Drosophila melanogaster: one gene and its partners. Changing the gene in region 1 together with any one later gene gives a genetic interaction. Each region holds a gene or a part of one and is shown in the gene's direction. Other genes may lie near its edges.

Region 1 (4,778 bases):
GTAAGGGAAGTGAGGGAGTGGAAAGGAAAGGCAAGTGGCGAAGGTGGAGGTGGATAATGGTGGCCACTATCAGCGAGCGGGCTTAATACGCGCCCAGCACGCCATTGGCCAATAAAACGCTCCGCGCCGTAATTGACGCAAAAATCGGACTGGTGCAACTGCTCCTCCGCCTGGTCTGGCTGCCCAAATAGCCAGTGCCTCGGCGGCTCCCTCGTCAAATGTCTTCATTTTCAGTGCCACATTTCCACGGGGCTGCTGTGCTGGGCCCAGCGACATGCAGTTTTGTGGCAGTTTCTGGCTGGCAGCAAGTATCTGACAATTAGATCTAAATTATGACGCTGTTTGCACCATAAAGAAATCGTTTTCCTCAGCTGCCGCTTTGCTCTGGCTAAACAATAGACAGTTAAGGCCGCAGATAAAGATATGTTTTCTATATAGCCAAGGCATGATTTCGCTGCATTTAATGAGCACTAAGCCTTTGCTCCTGCAGTTGCAGTTGCTTGGACGTTGGTTCGTTAAAATTTCAAAACATCTCAGTAACCACAAAATGTTTGTTTACAATCTAAATAAATTAAATTTTAAAGAAAAAATGAACTCCTTAAAAATCAAGACATTCGTCTTATTAGTTTAAGTAGAAGCAGTAACAAAATAATTTAATAATTTCCAAAGAAAACAAGATTACATGATAAGGATGTTACGTTGCTAGTTATTAAGTTTATTTTTTAGGAAATCTTCAATTCCAACTTGCAACATGTTGCGGTCGTAAGCACAAAAGCGCAGCATGTCGCAGCGATTAAAACACATTATGCTGCACTGAAGAACTTTAACTAAAATCTTCTACAAACTATATTTATAAAACAAATAATTTGTGCACGTTGTTAAGTATTACAAAATGTTATTGCAAACAATTGCTCTGGAACTATGGCTAATATATTCCTTTCATAGATAAGTATTTGAATTCATATATTTTAGTTTTTAAATTAATTATTATAAACAAAATAAATTTATAGTATTCAAAAAAGAACAAAATTAAATTTTTAAAATACTTATTTTACTTAATTTTTTAAATATTACTTTTTCTAAGAACATATATCACCTAAATGTCCTGTATTTATGTAAAACTATATTTATGGGATTTATATTTAAAAAGGTAGGGTTACATTTTTTAAGTCCAACATACCTATTTTTAAATTTAAAAACACCATCACTATGGTTTGCCGATTTTCCTATTATTTTCCTATTAATTTACATGTCTCTCTCTTTCTCTCACGCACACAATCGCACAGCAGCCGGCAGCGCTTTGCACAGTGGTACTAAATATTACAAATTGGAAAACGAATTTGAGATGTATTTACTTACAGTGTTACAGTATAGTTACAACTATATATTTTCCAATTCCTTCAGATATTTCATTTGTTACGATTTTACATAATTCGTAAATTAACACTTTTGTTTTTACATACAACTTTAACAGGTTTAAATATTTTATTGCCTTTAATAATACAAAATCAAACATAAAACGATACAAATGTCATAAAATATGATAAACATTCTTTAAACTGTATAGGTAAATATTTCTTTTTAAATGTATAAATTTGTAACTAAAGGAATTTCTAAAAATAAGCAAACTAATCCATAATCCATAATCCAATCCACATAGCGTTTCTTTTGCCCCACCGTGCGGCGCTTTGCATGAGTATTGGTGTAAGACTGTTGGCTGTTTTCTTACCTAAATGAGAACTTTGGTTTTCAAAATTCAGTCGGCATTCGACCATCAGATGGAGCGCACGTCTCTGGTCCTCAGTAAAAAAAGTAGCAAGTGAAAACTAGTGTTGTGTCCAGTTTCGTAGTTCCAGAACAGAGAACAGGAACGAAAATCGTGGAAATGTAAATAAGTGCAGACTGAAAGTCTTGAAATTCGAAAGCTCAGCGATAAGTGTGGACAACAGTGCGATCACCGGTCGGCAACTTTTCATTTTTTCGTTTTGTGCTGAAAATGTTTTTATTTTTTTCGGTTTTCAAGCTTGATTTCTTGTAATACCTAAAAGTGTCATATATACTCTCCGCATGTTAGCTGCTAATTTATTGGCAAACAAACACGTCTAAGTGCGAAATAGATTTTCAAAACAAAAACGAGGCATAGTTAAAAAGGTGAGTTCATAACTAGGACTCAGCAAAGTTTGGAGCAGCCTTGTGAAAGGAAATCATCGCTCCAGACGGGCAGCTATCATCTGGATATTTTGTTTCATTTCCATTTACCCCAGACGCAGCAGACAAATTTTTCCACGTACCATTCGCCCATCTCAGACAATAACAAAATTCTTGCATAGTTGTCAACAAAAGGCGATCGAAAGACTCAATAACAGCTCGGATTTCATGTGAGCCGATATTTGTTTTTATTTGCGGTTTGCTGAGTCTCGCAGCTCGCAGCTTGCAGCTTCATTCTTATCCTTAGCATCAGAAACAGAATCAGAATCAGAATAAGAATCAGATTCCGATACTGATTCTGATTCCGAATCGGAAGATGAGTGGCGCAAAGTCAACAACTCGTAGCATAAGCAAATTACTTGAAGTGCGCGCGCGCTTTTTTTACCGGCCATCCTGCAGATTTCCTGTTTACTTTTTGACATTTCTGGCGAATGCTAATGGGCCGTCGAGCGATTCTTCTAAGCGAATCAACTACAAACAGATTCGAGTGTCAAGAGGCGTTTCTTTGCTCTCTCTTTCTTCTTTTTTCATGCGGCCCACACTGCGTATGTGCAACGCGTGGCATTCGAACGCTGGCAAAACAAACATTTAGCAGTCACAGCCTACGGATCTCGGTGGTCAGTGAGTGTCTATACGTCTGTGTTTATCGGACGAGCCTCCGCCCAGGGCAACAAAAACAATGGCACACCGAAAAAAATAACACACTCGATATGACGAGCAGACGCATACGTATGAACATACTTAAATATGTATGCATAGTCATCAGACGGCTGTGTGAATATTAGTTGCTATACATTTGTTAAATCTTTTCAATGGATACGAGAATCGAATTTCAAATATTTACTTAGTGAGACCTTTTTTTTAAAGCATTAGCTTCGTTTGTGCCCTTTTCAGTATGTTTTTTCTTCCTGTGCAGGCAGTCCAGCTGTCTGCTCTTGCGATGCTGCTGCTGATGATACAGCCACTGTCGGTTTGATTTGATTTGTTTGTTGGCTTATGTATATTTATTGAAAATTTACTGCTTGCATAACAAACAACGAGGCTGCTGCTGCTGCTTCTGCTGCTGTCATATGCAAATTCCCAAGTGGGCGGAGGTGCTGGTGGGGGCGGGGCCGCTGTCCAAGTGTCATTAATCTCGCGCCAAAACGGAGACGCACAGTTTACTTTGGCTGATGAGTTTGCCGAAAGGAATTTCCTGTTGTTGCCAAATGACAAACTGTTTCCTTAGAAGACCCTCCTCCTCCATGACCCGTCCTGTTCCGCTCTTCCATCATCATCGATTTCGATTTGGCCCGTTTGTTACTTATGAAACCGAATACGTTGACCCTTTTTTTTCAAAGCGTTTTGAGCCACACACCGCAGCACAGACAGTTATGCAGTTGGGCGACCCACAGGGTTCCGCAGAACGGACCGCGCTAAAAATAGCATTTGGAGCCGGGTCTGGCATTCGCGATTGCTATTGCGCAATCGGCCTGAATGGAGCCTAAAGTCAATCGGTGACTGGATTGCGAGTCCCCGCGAACGTGGCGCGAGAACTAAGCCACACGAAAAGAAAACGGCTATGAAACCAGGTAGTTACTTCCGCATGAAGAGATTGAATACATTTTGAGCCTAACTCATCGAAACTAAATGGTGTCAAAACTAAAACATCCCAAAGTATTAAGTATTTCTGTAAGCACTCGTAGCTTCTGCAAAAGTGAAAGTTCCTTAAGAAAGTTTCAATGCCTAAAATATTAAATTACCAAGCTTACAAAACTTAAACTTCGAAATTATATTTAAAACACCCGACTAGTAAGATTATCCCTTGAGACACATTGATTTCTTCCTGTGCACTCCCGATATCAATCTACAAAATTCTCAGGATGGGATCGCTTGTTTCCGCGTTCTGTTTGTTTGGCAACTGTATCTGTTTTTTCTAAATCACACTGGGCCGCCGTCTGGAGGATCGGTTTTCTGGGCCGGACAATGGCATGGCAGGCAGCACGTGCTTTTGGCATTGCCCGCCCTATAATATGATACGCAATGGGACTTTCTGGAAACCGGGTTGCCTTGGGAGCGTCTTAATCTAATACGCAAAAGTAACTGAAGGCGTTGCAAGTGGGATATGGCAGAATACCTGAGAGAACCGCAGTGAAATTTAGCACCACATTTGATGCAAGTTTTTTGGCCAGCTCGAGGGGCTTGAGGTTGAAATTATGCACTTGTTGCTGAAGTGCAGCAGCAACAGCGCAGGATCAGCGCAGCAGAAGATGCAATTCAATACAAACGAAAATGCATAAAACAACAAAATAAAACAAAAAAAAAAAAACAAAAACACATTTTGCGAAAATCCAGAATAAATGCCCAAAAACATAAAAACAGGTCTCCAACGGTCAAACTGCATCTCCCGAAGAAGAAGGCATTCGCCATAGCTATATGGTATGGATATGGTATATATACATACATAAAGCTCCAGACTGTCTGTTTGGCAGTGCGAGTGTATTGGTGTACCTCCTCTGGTGTGTGAGTGTGTGTGTGTGTGGACCCTGAGTTTGGCAATGCAGTTGCCGAGGAGAATGCATTTAGTGCCT
Region 2 (7,709 bases), on another chromosome or scaffold:
TAGAAATAGATTCAAATCGTTTCAATAACTCTATTTTTTGAGTTCACATTCTTAGACTTTACTTTCCTGATCTGTAATTTGAATCAAATGCTCACTAGACAGTCATAGAATTTTCCTGATCAAATGCAAGGCCAAAGTCTAGACGAATAAGGCCATTTATAATCAAATGAAGCGATGAATAGTTCAGAAAATATTAGAATGAATCTTTAGATGTTTAAGGTAACTTTAAGCTTGCAGTTCAAACGTGTAACTAAAGTCATAGTACCCCTATCAAGGGTATAAGCATCATATATTGTTGACTTAATTATGACACCAAAACACTGTTTTAATTAAAAACTGAAATTCCAGAGGCCCGGCCACGATAAGCCGTGCATTGTGACGTGTTTTTCAGCACGCGCGCCACATTTAAAAATTAGACGTTTCGAGTGAGATTTTGCCTCGATCCTGAGTATACAAATCACGAAAGGTATATTGTGCGATTCCATCGCATTATATTTGAGGTGAATGCTTTATTGTGAAATCTCAAGGTAAACAAAACTCGGAACGGACTTAATCAGTCGATTGGCATGAGGTTTGAAAGTGAAACACAGCGATACGCAATCAGAGCCAGCATTTAATTAATATTAGCCATTTACATACTATTGTCCTCCGAGGTAATCTCAAGAGACCCATGCTCGACGGGCGTGAAAACTTCAAAATTATGATATCACACATGGTAATCAATTGAAGCAGCCAGCAAGTTAAAAACAAGAAACCCCAAACGTCGTAAAAGCCACATCGTAAATTGGTCAAGAGGAAAGCGATTAGCTGGCCAAGAGCTAAACAAAAACAGGAAGGCATACGTAGGGTGGAGTCTGAAATTGAGTATACTTAGTTCATTCGTTATATTACATCTAATTGTTCAGTCTTTTACACGACATTGTTTGCATATTCTTCGATGATACATATGTACTTTCTTCTAGCATTCATGGTTATACGTCAATTTTAGTCATACCTCTCGCTAGTACCGCTTATTAATAGACATTGGGCCATCAAAAGAAAGCGATGGTATCGCTTTGGCTGTGAGAACCAATCGCCATTAGGCAATGTCGGCTATCAGGGAAAGTCAAAGGCAATCCGCTGGACTGGACTGCCGCTGAACTTTGGACCGGTTGGATCGAGCGATAAAACCCCACCGGCACGACGTCAGCTCACGTTTTTGGGTGACGAATGCTGGGGCTCGATCCTCATTCCCAACAAGCTCGAACTCACGAACGGCCATCGAACATGTAGCGCCGGCCAGCGAACTTGTTCGATGCTCCAGCCTCGAGCGGCGTGGGTGTTCGATGCAGGAGGCGATCGGATGGGAGCCAACCGGACCTAAAACGCTGCTGTGTGGGCCAGGGGGGAAAGCCACCCATTATCAGTGGCTCTCCCTGCTCTCCCTCTCTCTCTCTCTGTCGCACTTGCTGGAAGCAAAGTAGAATTGCGCATCGCTTAAAACGCAGAGCAGCGGAGTGCGCCAATGATCGGCGGCGTGTCTGTTATCAAACAAACTGAAACTCAACTGTCTGCCGCCCGAAGAGTGGGCCATACCCATACCCATACCCATACCCAGGCCCATACTCACACCCATACCGCTCCCCACAGATACCGTTAGTCGTACCGCTCCAGGCTTTTGTGGCCGCTGCGCCGCCCATCGTCGAATTATTCACACGCAGACGTTCCCAACGATCGGATCGAAAATTATTCAAATCGTGCAAATCGTACATGAAACTTGGTGTGAACGAATAATACTTTATGTTTCTTCAAAACATTTGTTTTTGCTCAGCGAAATATCAGCTCGTCATTTTGAGGAAATCAAGTTCAAGTGGTGAAATTCAAAACAATAATGAGTTTGCGAAAGTGATTTGCGAAAACAAATAAACGGACAATCGATTGTAGAATCACTCAAGGACATTTGATAAGCATCCCTTTTCGCAGAAGATTGCAAACAATGTGCTAAGTTATTCAAGCATTTTGACAATGGATTATTAATTTGGGTGAGTTACATAACACAAGGGCTTATTGTGTAAGAAGTTTAAATAAAAGTGCCAAAAATGTGAATTATGGAATCAGCCTCAACATGGGATACTAGAAATTGTATATTTTTTTTAGCAGTCTAATGCTCAATATCAGTTATTACCAAATCGCAGGGAAGTTTCTAGTTTCGCTTTTGGAATATCATGCCGTAATTAAAAACTAATCATGCAGTGAATGGTTTATCGATCAGAGGCCTATCTATCACCGATTGATTGATTGATAGTTTTCGAGCCTATAACCCAGGCGCATAACCTCCAAAAGCTCTTGGCGAATTTCGGCCACGTCGAGAGTCATTGGCCAAATTTAGTTGCTACCAATGATGATCTTATTTAATCCTGCACTTGATTTATGGTAGCATCGCCGATGAGCGTGTGGCGAGAAAAGTATTATGGCAGATTAATTTGCGACGCTTCGGGCCTCTGGCTTCTGGCAATCGGGGCAATCTCCGTGAGCGGTTCCAAAGTCCAGATCGTGGCATGCTCCCAACCGCTGATCGGCGAGAACGGCGTGATCGCCGTGATTTATTGCCAAAAACCGATGGAAGCAGCCGTGTTTTTGTCGCAGTGCATTCAACTGCTGCGCGCGAAGAAGAAATGCAAGTGATAATTGCCGGCAATTACGATAGCCCCACTCCAAGTCCGAGTCCCAGCCCCACATCCAGTCCCAGCTGCCCCGTAATTAATGCGAAAATGATACGGGCAGGCCCATGGAAAACCCCCAAGCAGAGTCGCTTAGTCAAGAAGCCATCTCCATCAAGCGGCTGTACTTTGCACCTCCAATCGACGCATCGCCAGACCCCCAACTCCCCATTCACAGGCACAGCAGTTTTTTGCTCCGATTTGCATCGACATGGCAACCGCGGAGTCTTCACTACAGCTTTTGCTTCTGATCACGCGCTGGTGGCGTGCTCGATGACGTAGCCATGACTGCCGGGCGTTAAATGACCTTCTTCAACTTCTGTCCCCCTTCCCAGCGGCACCCCTTTTCCGCGGGCCCCCATCACATCGCAGTCGCACGCCTCGGCTTCGATTCCTGCCTTTGATAAGTCGGTCAGTCAAGTCAGTCATTAAGTCCAGTGCAGTGCGGACAGCTCGAGTTACGTCAAAAACGAAGAGTACGTACAAAACGTGTCACATGTCGCGTGTGTGCTACAATCCAAGCCCTGCTTCCTGATCCGATCCCCATCCATTCTATCAGATCCCATCCCATCCGATCTGATCCGTCATTATGTGGCCCCCAGTCGCTTTAATCGACGTCAGGTTGGTTGTGTTGGAAAAAACAAAATGGAGCAGATTTTGGAACGTGGCAATCTACGTAGGTTGTGGAAAAATATGCGATGAGTTGATAAGTGGTGCGACATATGCTGAAGGCCAGGACGTCATTTAAATTGGAAAAGGGCCACTGGAAAAGTGTAATACCTTATGTAACTTATGGGAACACGTAAAACTAAACTTAATTGTGCAAGTCAAAGGTGTCATAATCTAATATGAAATTGGGGAGTATGCAATACTTATAGTTGTTTATTGTATTATTTCCTAACAAGAACCCCTATTAATTTGCTTTTGCTTAAGCCGCACCAACAATGTTGCCAGAATTCGCTGAGGCCTACAAAATTTCTATCAATTAAACGGACCTTCTCCTCCGTATAGTATAGATCATTTCTATTCGTCTCGATGATCTAATTGGGTTCAGAAAAATCACAGTTCGTGACAAGCGAATCGGGCACGTGTTCAGCATTTAAGGCTAAATCGAATAGGCGGTATAATATAACTCGTGATCTGCCGGCCTTCAAAATACTTTTCTTGACCTTACTCGACTGCTTCACATTTAGCCGAGACCAGAAATTCTGGCTGATGAAATTCCCAACCGAAATACTCATGAATTTCCCATTCGCATTTAAATTGGAAAACAGACACACTATGTATTTGAAATGCGCATCTATTAACCGAATCCGATTAGGATTGCCCAGAATCGCATGCTAAGCGTACTTAATTGGTTAAATGCCGCACTACATATTCCATGCTCCCGATTTGTGGACCAAAAGTGGGAAACCGCCCCTTATCAGCAACGTGTTCACTATTAATTGATTGACACACAATCGAGTCGGATCATCAAAGTCAAGCTTGATAACGCTGCGGGGTAATTAGCATGAATGGGCCACTCGACTCGATTCGATTCGATTCGATTCGGTTTGAAGCGATCATAAATTCACTTGATATCAAAATGCCCCATTGTGGCCAAGCGAGTGCCAAAAATGCCAACAGATAGTGACGCCGCCAACTGGGGGCGTGGCATTGTCAGGGTGGCGGGAGGTTAAAAATAAAATTGCAATTAAGAATTTTATGCAATTCGGTGGCTTGGCGTTTTCAAGAAGCTGATGCAATGCTGCACCCCACTTGCATATCCAATTGTCTTCGGCTAAAGAGAGAGCGCCATGTAGCCATAACCATGGTCTATAGTCATAAATCGAGACCCGAACCGCTCGGCTTGGATCCGAGTCCGCAACCGATACGAAACGATCCGTCAGATACGATGCGATTCGAGTGGTTCGGATTGTTTCGGTTCGGTTCGGTTCGGTTCGGCTGGCGCTCGCGGAACGATCAATCAAACGCTCGGCGATCGTCACATAAATTGTTCTACTAATCAGCCAACCGCTTCATTCATTCACAACTCGTTTGCGCTGCCGCATGTCGGAAGAGAAAGAAGCACCATACTATATCATAGACCATACCACAAGTGGAATACTATATAGACGCGCGATCCCAGCTATAGCTAAAGGCCCGTGCCACTCGTGTTTCGTGTCCGGGTTCAAAGTTAATGCCGCAACCCCCGCCGGATTCATCCGGCTGAGCAGATTCAGATCCCATTGGAGCAAATCGGAGTGTGCTCACCACGGTACGTGTGGGGTCCACGTCCACCTAATTGCCATCTAATTGAGCCCGCTTATCAGCGGATCTGCGCAACTACGCTTTCGATTTGAGTCGCACTTGGGGCAAATAGCCCATGTGATAATGTGAAATTGAATACTGAACTAAACTAAATCTTCCCGGAATTAATGTCAAAAAAACGATTTGCACTTTGCCACCTGCCAATTCGAGCTCAACGATATGGAATAAATGATGCAATTTGGTGCAAAAATTAAGCGAGACTTCGGGCTTAGTGAGTGATAGTGATAAATGCACCTGATCCGCTGGCATATTAAATTGCATTTTAATTGGGGCAGCGCGTTCGCAAATATTTATGAGAAAATTTAGGGCATAGCTGTTTTAATTTATTTGATTAATAATCGGAATGTGCTTACAATATTAACTAAGTTACAAATTTCTTCTTATTTGCAGACGAAACTTAACGAAAAGTTTAAAATATTGAACATGCATCATTCAAGCGTATAAGTCGTTGTTATATAAAATCATAAAAAACGCATAAACGTTTTAAAAGTGCTTAAACAAGGCTATAAAACGGCAACAATAAGTGAAACCAGCTGCAATTCTATGAGTTTTGTAAACCTGAAAGCCGGAAAAATTGATGTTTTAATGCTGCCAAACAGATAGCAATCAGCCCCAGCCGACAAAACAAGAGTGAAACCAAAGGCGATCCAGAAGATCATAAGATACATATAAAATATCTCACAGTTAAAAAAAAAGAGAAGTCATAAGTACATATTCAGAAATGGCCAAGTACTTTATAGCCCTGGTGTTGCTGGTGTGTCTGGCCCTGGAGAACAGGAACGTATACAATCGCCTGCACGCCCGCTCCCATCCGAGTTCCCGTGGCGACATCCTTCGTCCGCATCCTAAGCACCAGCCGCATCCCCATGTGCAGCACACCTCGCAACAGCTGCAGCAGCAACACCATATCCGGCAGCAACGATCCCGTCAGCTGAAACACCTGGAACCGGATCCGACCAGCGAGGAGGACGATGTACCGATCACCAAGCGGGAGTACTATGCCCGCCTGAGGCGCCACGTCATCCACAAGAGGCAGCACCTCCTGCAGCAGGAGCTCAGCTACAACCATCCCGGCTCCCATTCGGAGCAGCTAAAGGTGCCCCGCCTGTGGCAACACCTCATGGAGCAGGAGGAGAAGGCACACCGACATGTGAGCCCGCCCGTGGAGTTGCCTATCATGTACGGAGATGCCCCCGAGGAGTCATCCCTCTCCTCCGATGATCACTTTGATGATCTGTCGCCGCTGGACTTTGTGCGCAACGAACTGATGGCCGAGGACCAGCAGAATCAGGAGAAGGATCTCGATCTCGATCTGGACCTAGATCAGCAGCCGGAAACGCCCATAGAGCCAGAGCTCCCATTGGGTGAGAGGAACATCACCATTTCGGTGAAGTCCAGCGCCGGAGGATGCCCCAAGTGCGAGAGCAATCGCCAAGTGGAGCACATCACCGAGGAGCAGCTGACCCACTTACGCATCGAGTTCGTTAAGCAGCAGATCCTGGAGAAGCTGCGCCTCAAGGAGAGCCCCAAGGTGTCGGCCGTGGAGCTGCCCAAGCCCATCTTCGACGGGATGACACTCTCCCATCCGGACGATAGCACCAAGAACAAGGAGCTGGACGATTACTACGCTCGCACTAGCAAGAAGTTCATACTGCTCAATAGAGGTAAGCAAATCTAGATTTAAGCACTAGAAAGTAAAGATTGAAGCTTAACTTCAAAGGGAATCCTTTTACCATTCTGATTTTGCTAACACAACCCTTTATCCTTTATTTTTACAGAGGAGGTCGAGTGCAACCGAGCGAGAGATGGAAAATCCAATCCGTCCATGTGCTTCACCTTCAAGATAGACGACGCAGATGCCGAGGGCTTCGACGTGAGCACCGCCGTCCTGTGGCTCTTCAAGAACAAACAGAACCGCACCGACACGGCATCGGTGAACAGCACCAGTGCCCAGCAGACGATCGTAGTCTCCGAGGTGGAGGTGGATCAGCAGAAGGACTCCAAGTATTTGTCGGCGGCCAAGACCATAGCCATCCAGTCGGTGAATGTGCAAGGTGGGTACACATAGTATACATTAGTATAGCATAAACACTCATCCCCCCAGAGCGTAATCATGCCCAGAAAAGAATCGCACACGTTTGGACCTTTGGTCGGCAGCCGCGGAACGGCCAAAACTGACCCTCAATACCCTCGGGGGACAAATCAAAATATGTGACATGTCTATACTAGATGGGTATTATAAAAATTATAAAGAACGCCGATAAGTGCCAACGTTGACAACCGCTTGTTTGTGTTTTCAATTAGACAGATCATTGCGCAGATTCGTGATAGCACTGCTTGATAGCTCGGCTCGAATCTGAAATTCATGTGGGTGAATAACTTGACAAAGCATTATTCGTGGGTGCAAAAACTGAACTTTGGCCACAACCCAGCACAGTTGTGAGTTCCTGGGGTCAGTTACCAGATAAGAAAGATGGGATCTACGATTCTGGGAGAAGAGAAGATGGCTCTGTGGAACCCCCAACTAACCGCTCTGCCTTTCCTTTCGCATACTTTCAGATGAGTGGATGAAGATCGACATTGAGTGGCCCATCAAACACTGGATCAGTGGCCACGAGCTGAGCCACCTCATCCAAATCACCTGCGGTGGCTGCGATGTCAGCGACATGGAGGAGATCATTTCGGTGGACAAGGATTACC
Region 3 (8,005 bases), on another chromosome or scaffold:
TTGATATAAACAATCGGTATTCATATGTTTTGGTATGAAATTCGGTATTTCAATCGTGGCTCGTGGCTTTTCACGGTCTGCAAGCCAACCGAGACAGCTTTTCCGCCGTTTCTTTTGGTTGTTTTTGGCTGCTAGGTACTGGAAATGCTACTGCTGTATATATTATGTTATGTACTATTTATTTATACTACTTACTTTGTTGGTATACTCTTTCCCGGAATAATACATATAGTTATTTCCGGAGATTTTCGGGAGCCGAAAGTTAATACATACAGACAGAAGGGGCTTTAACAAGTCGATAGCACATAAAACCAGAATAACATGATATCGGCAAACTAAGGTTTATATACTCTTCCAATTAAAACAATGTCTTGGATAAAGTTTTTTAACCCGTGCCACTAACGTAGACGACCGATACATGCCAGTCAGTCCCCTTGTCCGTCGGTCCATCTTTATAAAAGTCAAAACCTATAAAACTATAGATATCAAAAAATTGAAGTTATCCGTCCAGATTCTAGTAACTCCTACGAGGCTTTTGCTTGTATCAAAACGTAAATTATTTATTTGTTATGTCTATGTACATGTATGTATATGATGAAAACAACCAACAACAAAATATTCGTATTCTATTTCTAGTTTGATGCAATCGTTTCGAAGGAAGTAAAAAGTAAATGTAGCCAATAATTGTAGGTATTCCGGTGAAGTTACGTATACATCCTCTTTGTTCTTTCTGTTAAATATTCTTCAGAGAGTACGGTTTACCCTTTTTTTGTTAACAAGTAAAGGATAAAGAAATATTATCTGCTGGGCTTTTCCTTATATCGATTTGCATAACTAAAATCAGCAAAATAATAGAATACTTACTCGAATTTCACATTTGGAAAGTATGTAACAACCAGAAGGAAGCGTTTCCAACCATATAAAGTGTGATCAGGATCAATAGCCGAATCGATCTGGCCTTGTCCGTATGTCCGTGTATCCGTGTGTCCGTCCGACCGTCTGTCCGACCGTCTGTTCGACCGTCCGTCTTTCCGAATGAACTCGAAATCTCATGTACTGTACGTAAACGTAAAAGCTTGAGATCAGCATACAGATTCAAGCGACATAGACGCAGCGCAAGTTTGTTGACAGATGTTGACACGACCACTCTAACGCCCACAAAGCGCACAAAACTGGCACGCCCACATTTTTGAACAATTTGTGGATAGTTTTTCATAATTTCATCTAACGCCCACAAACTGCACAAAACTGCCACGTCCACACTTTTGAAAAATGTTTTTATATTTTCTCATACATACTTTTTCATACAAGACTAATAATCTTGTAAATTTCTATCGATCTGCAAAAAACATTTTTGCCACGACCACTCAAAGCGCTAAAATCGACCAAAACTGCTACTCCCACGTTTATGAAAATGTATTGGATATTTTTCATAATTTTATTAGTCTTGTAAATTTCTATCGATTTGCCAAAAAACGCCCAATATAAAGCCCGCAAACCACGAATAACAGGTATAACAATTTTTTCCCATTTTATTTCCCCCTAATATCGATATCCCAGAAAAATGATGAAATTTTGCGTTCGCATTCGTACTAGCAAATGAATATAATATTAATATTTATATCTTGATTTGAATCTAACTGAATTGGACGTAAAGTTTTACAGATAAATCTGTTAATGTTTAGGCGCACATAGATCGACACAAGATCGACTGCTAATTTGGAATTTTGGGTAAACGATTCCATCTACGCTTAACAACATTTTTATTTATTAGTTACGATTACGATTTAAAAATGATTTAGGTTATTGAAATTCATCCATTTGAATCTGCCGACTTTTTAATCGTGAAAGGAAGCATATATCGATAGCATCGATATTCTTTCTAATTTGAATGGCAACAGATATTTCTGGTGCAAATATGGCAACGCTGAAATATTGTTATTTTCAAGAAAGCTTTTGAAAAGCTTAAAGTGTCATCTTAGTTTCACAAAGTATGCAATGTCATTTAGCAACCAACGGAGATACAAAATATTGTTTCCGTGCTAAAAGGAAAAGCATAATACATTTATAAATCGTGAAAATGTGATAGTGTCCCTAATATTTCTCGTGAAGAAATATATTTACTTAGTTGAAAATTTATTGTTTCTAAAAAGAAAAAGGTGATACATATTGTTACATACACTGATCATAAGCCTATACACATAACCACCTTCCTTCTTACATATGTACAAATTTTTTTGTTGAACGCATGCTTTTAATTCCTCTTCATCCCTTTCCGCTGCTAGGCTTCTAAGTAACCACCATTCAGGCGTAGGTCTTTTCATCTGGACACAGTCTGTGTGTCGCCTTGAGTTCTTCAGAAGGGACGGATGAGTCTGTCTGTCCGCTTCTGTTGGTGCATGGTATGAAGTATTTCTGGCGTAATAATAACTGTGCCATCCGAAGCTCGGCGTCAGGTTTAGACTAATTTTAATGTGTTGTACCCTTTCAAAGTGTATATTGATTTAAGTCAGTTTCTTGCAACGCAGTAAAGGAGACAATTACGACCACACGAAGAATATATGTTCATCTGTATGGCTAGCAGTAAGAGCCGTAACCGTCCGTCCGTTTCAACGCAAACTGGTTCAATTACTGGTTAATTATCAAGTAAACAAGTATTCGGAGAATATATCATTTAAGATTTGTATACCCGTATATATATTCCCTTACTCGTAGAATCAAAGGGTATACTATATACGTTAAAAAGTAAGTACCATGTAGAAGGGAGCATTGCCGAGCATACAAAGTATATACAGGGTGCGGCAGCATAATTTCCTTTTTCAGAACTCAATGAAAACTATTGTAGGCATCGGAAAAAATTTATTTTTTTTTATATTGTACGTACATGTCATATTTTTTGAAGATGAAATCTGATAGGTGACGTCCCCCATTCTCCATACATTGCGTAAACCGATTTCTGGCGTTTGTCGTGAGTCTTGTTAGCATGGCAGGTGTTATGATGGCAATTTCTTCTTGGATGTTGGTTTTCAAATCTTGTAGGGCTCTTGGACGGTTCACATAAACACGGGACTTCAAAAAACCCAATAGAAAAAAATCACAAGGGGACAGATCGTGCCGGCCATTCCAAATCGCCTCTAATTGAGATAAGGCGCTCTGGAAAGTGTTCCCTCAAAACAGCCATCGATGCTCTTGAAGTATGTGCTGTTGCACCGCCTTGTTGGAACCAATTTTTGTATATAAAAAACACTTTGGCCACAAAACGAGCGAAACGGTCACGCCCACATTTTCAAACAAATTTAAAACTTTTTCGTATCTTTTTGCACAATATTTATAAATATCCCTGAAAAATTATGAAACTTCGCATCGGGGAAGTCGACTATAGCTTTCTCCGGTGTTTTTAATTTATTTGCCAATTTGTAGCCTCCTCTCTTGTTTAGTGTCCATATTAATTTCCAGTTAGCTTACCACTTATCTAATCGAAAATTTGTATTTTGAACAGGCAGACGAAATGAACGACAGAAAGGAAAGGAAAGGAAAAAGATTTGCAATGATTAAAAAAATATTTACCAGAAAAATAAAATTGACAATACTTGTACCACGTTTCTAAGGGACAGTGCCTGTACTACACGCTTGCCATATATCAAAGATGCGATTTGCCTTCGATTCTAATCATTCGCAATCGGGGGCGCCATTCAAAGGCAGCAGGTGTTTCTTTAATTGTCAATGCATCTGCTGTCGCCAAGGATGCTGCGTTGTGGTTGTAAAGTGCTGTTGCTGCTTTAACTTAAACTGCTGCAACAGCCTTGGCTCCCGGAAGTCATTTCCACAACCCGCTGCAATGCGTAAAAAAGTTGCTGACCTCGAAGTCCTTAGAGTATCAAGGTTTGTGGCGGTTATTTTAGTGCTGGCTCGGTGGGTTACTGCGGTAGCGACACTCCTGACAAGCTGCATACTCCTAGACATATTTTCCGTGCCTGGCCAGTCTGGAGTTGCAGATAGAAGCCAAGCCAGCAGTAGGACAGTGCACGTCTCGGTTCCTACCACACCTAATGAAACTCCCAGTAGCACTTCGGAGACGAAGCTAAAGTTGCTTTATGGGTATACATCGTATGACATAAATAACGACCAACAGGTAAAGTCCAACAATTTATGTAGAGTGCTTTGTAAAAGTCGCAATCGTAAACGACAGCGAAGGAGGCGACGCCGACGCAATCACAGACGACGCAGGCACAGATATACTAAGCGACTTCATCATCTAATGCAAGATAATATGAGCGGCTTTGAGCAAAGACTTAATTTTAGCGATGCCAAATGCCAGTCTTTGGAGACAAATTACGGAACTAATTATGACTTAGTACAAGGAGGTAAACTATTTAGTCAGTCAGAGAGAAGCCTACTGGTGTCCCCTTTGAGGGAAATTGAAGCACCTTGGCCAGCGATTCATGGTTCAATGCGTAACTGTTCAAAGATTAAACGCAATAGAGCCAATCTTATTTGGCTTCTAATTGGACTCGTCTGGTTTGAAGTCAAACTTATAAATTGCAATGGGATCAGCAGTAGTAATTATTATGCTTCGAATTTGGAGAGTCACAAGGGCTGCACCTTGTGCCATGAAAGCGGAAAGCCCAACATATACACCGATAAAGGTCAGTTTTCAAAAAAATTTTTTACATACTGAATATAGGGTAATCTTTTAATATTCTTATTGAGACTAAAAAAAACTACATTGAGTTTGGCGTTATTAAGATAAAACAGATGTGAGTTGTTGTGAAATAAGCGGTTATCGTACTGTACCAAAACTATTGCAATGCAGAATTTTTTGTAAAATAAATTTAATTTGTAAGATTTTTGTGCTATTTTTAAGTAAAATAAAATCATTTTCAATGATTAAATTAAATATCTATTGACAAATGTTGTACCACTAGTAATGTAAATAATATTTAATACAAGGACCACCCGCAGTAAGCCTGGGATATTCATACCCCCTTAAAAGGGTAAATAACAAAAAATACAAAATATCTAGAACAAATTTTCATAGTCTGGGTGAGTTTTTATCTTAATATTGCAATTTGTTTATCTTAAGGATTGGAAAAATTTGCTTGCTACACGATTAATTTCGTACATATTTTTGAATTAAAACATTACGAGTCTTGAAAGGTATTCCTGTCTCGTCTAATTTTATTGTCATAAAATAAAAAAATTATATATTGTTCTTAACGTAAAAACGAAGGAAATGTCGCTCCAGTGACGTAAATATGTACAATACTAGTCAAACTCGGTATTGCAAAAAAAAACAGTAGAGGTCATAGGCGCTGGATTTCAGAAACTATAAATAGATTTGATTATTGATTTTATTTCTTTTCGAGATTTTTGTGAACCATAAAAATAAATCCAAATCTTAAAATAATAATGCTAGCAAGACAAAAAAATATTTTTAAAAAACGATAAAACTTGTGTGATATCGGGTAATGAAACTTTACTAAAAACATAAAAACACTCCATACAACAACAAAAATTTATATAATGAATTTTACATAACACTTTACAATTATCACATTCACACAGATAATCCACACACAGACTACAACATCTACAACAAATACCATTCCAACAATAATTTCAACAAAAAAACTAATCAACCCCATAACAACATTGCACCCAGCGATGAAGTTCGTTTGGAGTCAATAAAACGGCAAATTTTGACAAAGCTTGGTCTTAGCCACAAGCCTAATGTATCTCATCCTTTACCAAAGCAATTTATTTGGGAAACAATATATCGAGTCGATGGTGGACGAATGATACCAAACAATGCATTTGGGAGCAGTGGTAAGAATTTAGATCAGAAGACTATCAAGCTGAGGGCGTTTGCCTCGCCCGGATCACATTTGTTTAATGGCCGAGGTGGAAGGACCGATCAGAGAAGCGAACGGGATCCCAGTCATCATAAATATCGATCCCCGTTCGATTTCACTTTCAATATAAGTAAAAATAATGTATATGGGAAAGTATTGAGAAATCGTTCTTTAGAACGAATCGATAAAAAAAACTCATTCTTAAACGGATGGACAGAAAACCGTCAATTAAAAATAAACTCTCAAATTGCATCTATGCCTATAGAACTAAAGAGCCACCATAACAGTAGTCCTAAGGAGCTTAAAAGCGGAGCGGTCAGAAAAGTTAATGGCATCAACGGCACACAAATGAATGAGAATGCCTTAAAAAAATCTACATATCCTATAGATATAAATCATAGTATTGATAATAAAACCCATACTGGCAAAAATGGTGAGATGAGCCACAATGATTATGAATATTTTAACGATTACAGTGTTCAGACTCATGATAAAAACCGGTACCATGAAGGTCGCTCTAGCATTGGATATCAGCCAGCGATCCACAACATAGAATATGAAAATCAGAAAGGACATCACGAATCTTTTGCTGATGATCATGAAAATATTGATCATGAAGACTTCTTTGGAAATACGCAGGAAATAATTACATTTGCTGAAGAGGGTGAGTAGATTTTTATTCAACACAGGATTAAACGCTATCGTCGAGGGCAAATTAAAAAATAAGAGACGTCGAGTTCGCCGACTATCAGATACCTGTTACTATAAATAAGTAAATATAAATTTTATTTTATACCCGTTATAACTAGTGGGTACGCAAACGCGAAATTTCATAATTTTGCTGGGATATCGTTGGATATTACGGGGAAATAAAATGAGAAAAAAATTGTATAATTCTTTAATAGTGAGGGAGTGAGCCTCTTGGGCGTTTTGTTGGTGAAAGGATGTGCGTGATCACAGTGTTTTGGTATACCGGTGGAAATTAGCAAGACAAACAATAAAACAAAGAAAAATCTAAAAAAAATTTTCTAAAGTGTGGGCGTGGCAGTTTTTTGGCAAATCCATAAAATTTTAAAAGACTAATAAAATTATGAAAAAATATCCACAAATTTGTCAAAAAAAAAAAATTGTCGGCGGCATTTTTTGGGTCGTTAGAGTGGGCGTGGCAAAAAGTTTGTTGACAAATCGATAAAAAAAAATGTACAAGACTACAGACTAAAAATATGAGAAAATATCAAAACTTTTTCAAAAGTTTTCGGAGGTTTGTGGGAGTTGGCTCAACACACGTGCGATGCGTTTAGGTGTCTACAATCGGTATGCTTCTAGCTAGTATGCTTCTAACCTTCTAGCTTTTATAGTTCATGAGATCTAGACGTTCCATACAGACATGGCTAGATTGATTCGGCTATTGATCCTGATCAAGAATATATATACTATATATAGTCGGAAACGATTCTTCCTGCCTTTAACATACTTTACTATACTATACTATACTATATACTATAGTTACTATTATATATTATTATATTATAATATATATTAATATATAGTAATAGTAATATACAGTAATAAAAATAAGAAAGAGTGATCGTGCCCAAAAAACATTAGGCAAATCAGTAGAAACCGGCTTGTGGCGGTATGTATGGCATACCGATAGAAATTGGCAAAACAAATTATATAATGACTAAAAATAAAAACGCTTTCTTAAAAGTGTAAGCGTGGTAGCTTGTGAGAGTGCTTCTTCTCTGAAATTTTTAATTTTTTATCTGAACTTTCTAGATTTTACAGGCCCTGACATCGATACGATCGATATGGACAAAAACGAATATATTTAAATACGTTATATTAAAGTTGAAGTAGTTGAGGTTTTTTTAATGTCTACCAATATCCGCCATCTCTAACGCCTACAAAACGCTTAAGAGTACATTTTATATACAAAGCTTTGATTTTTAGTTAACTGTACAAAAATTGTAAACTTTACAATATATCTGTTTTTGAAGAAAAAAAACAATGCAATATATTTTTTTGTAATTCGCTCATATGACTGTGTGTAGTCTTCTTATTCATTGGCATAATATATTTTATTTTAAGGAACCCAATATCGACAATATCGAATACTCGAGTTTTCGGCCCAAAACCGCCGTGTTCCCAGC

What was found.
Region 2: of Fs (region 1) and daw, changing one suppresses a phenotype caused by changing the other (phenotypic suppression), as found in Drosophila melanogaster (one study listed by BioGRID).
Region 3: of Fs (region 1) and Actbeta, changing one suppresses a phenotype caused by changing the other (phenotypic suppression), as found in Drosophila melanogaster (one study listed by BioGRID).

The regions. Positions count from the first base shown.
Region 1 is NT_033778.4:15,238,570-15,243,347, reverse strand, and holds the start of Fs (follistatin), read left to right. Parts: upstream 1-1,758; 5' UTR 1,759-2,151; intron 2,152-3,548; 5' UTR 3,549-3,779; intron 3,780-4,778.
Region 2 is NT_033779.5:2,803,581-2,811,289, forward strand, and holds the start of daw (dawdle), read left to right. Parts: upstream 1-1,680; 5' UTR 1,681-2,021; intron 2,022-4,741; exon of another isoform or gene 4,742-4,956; intron 4,957-5,399; 5' UTR 5,400-5,730; coding exon 5,731-6,673; intron 6,674-6,787; coding exon 6,788-7,063; intron 7,064-7,568; coding exon 7,569-7,709.
Region 3 is NC_004353.4:1,078,768-1,086,772, reverse strand, and holds the start of Actbeta (Activin-beta), read left to right. Parts: upstream 1-1,976; 5' UTR 1,977-2,159; intron 2,160-3,499; 5' UTR 3,500-3,646; coding exon 3,647-4,646; intron 4,647-5,565; coding exon 5,566-6,516; intron 6,517-7,943; coding exon 7,944-8,005. UniProt on the Drosophila melanogaster protein: Controls several aspects of neuronal morphogenesis; essential for optic lobe development, EcR-B1 expression in larval brains, mushroom body remodeling, dorsal neuron morphogenesis and motoneuron axon guidance.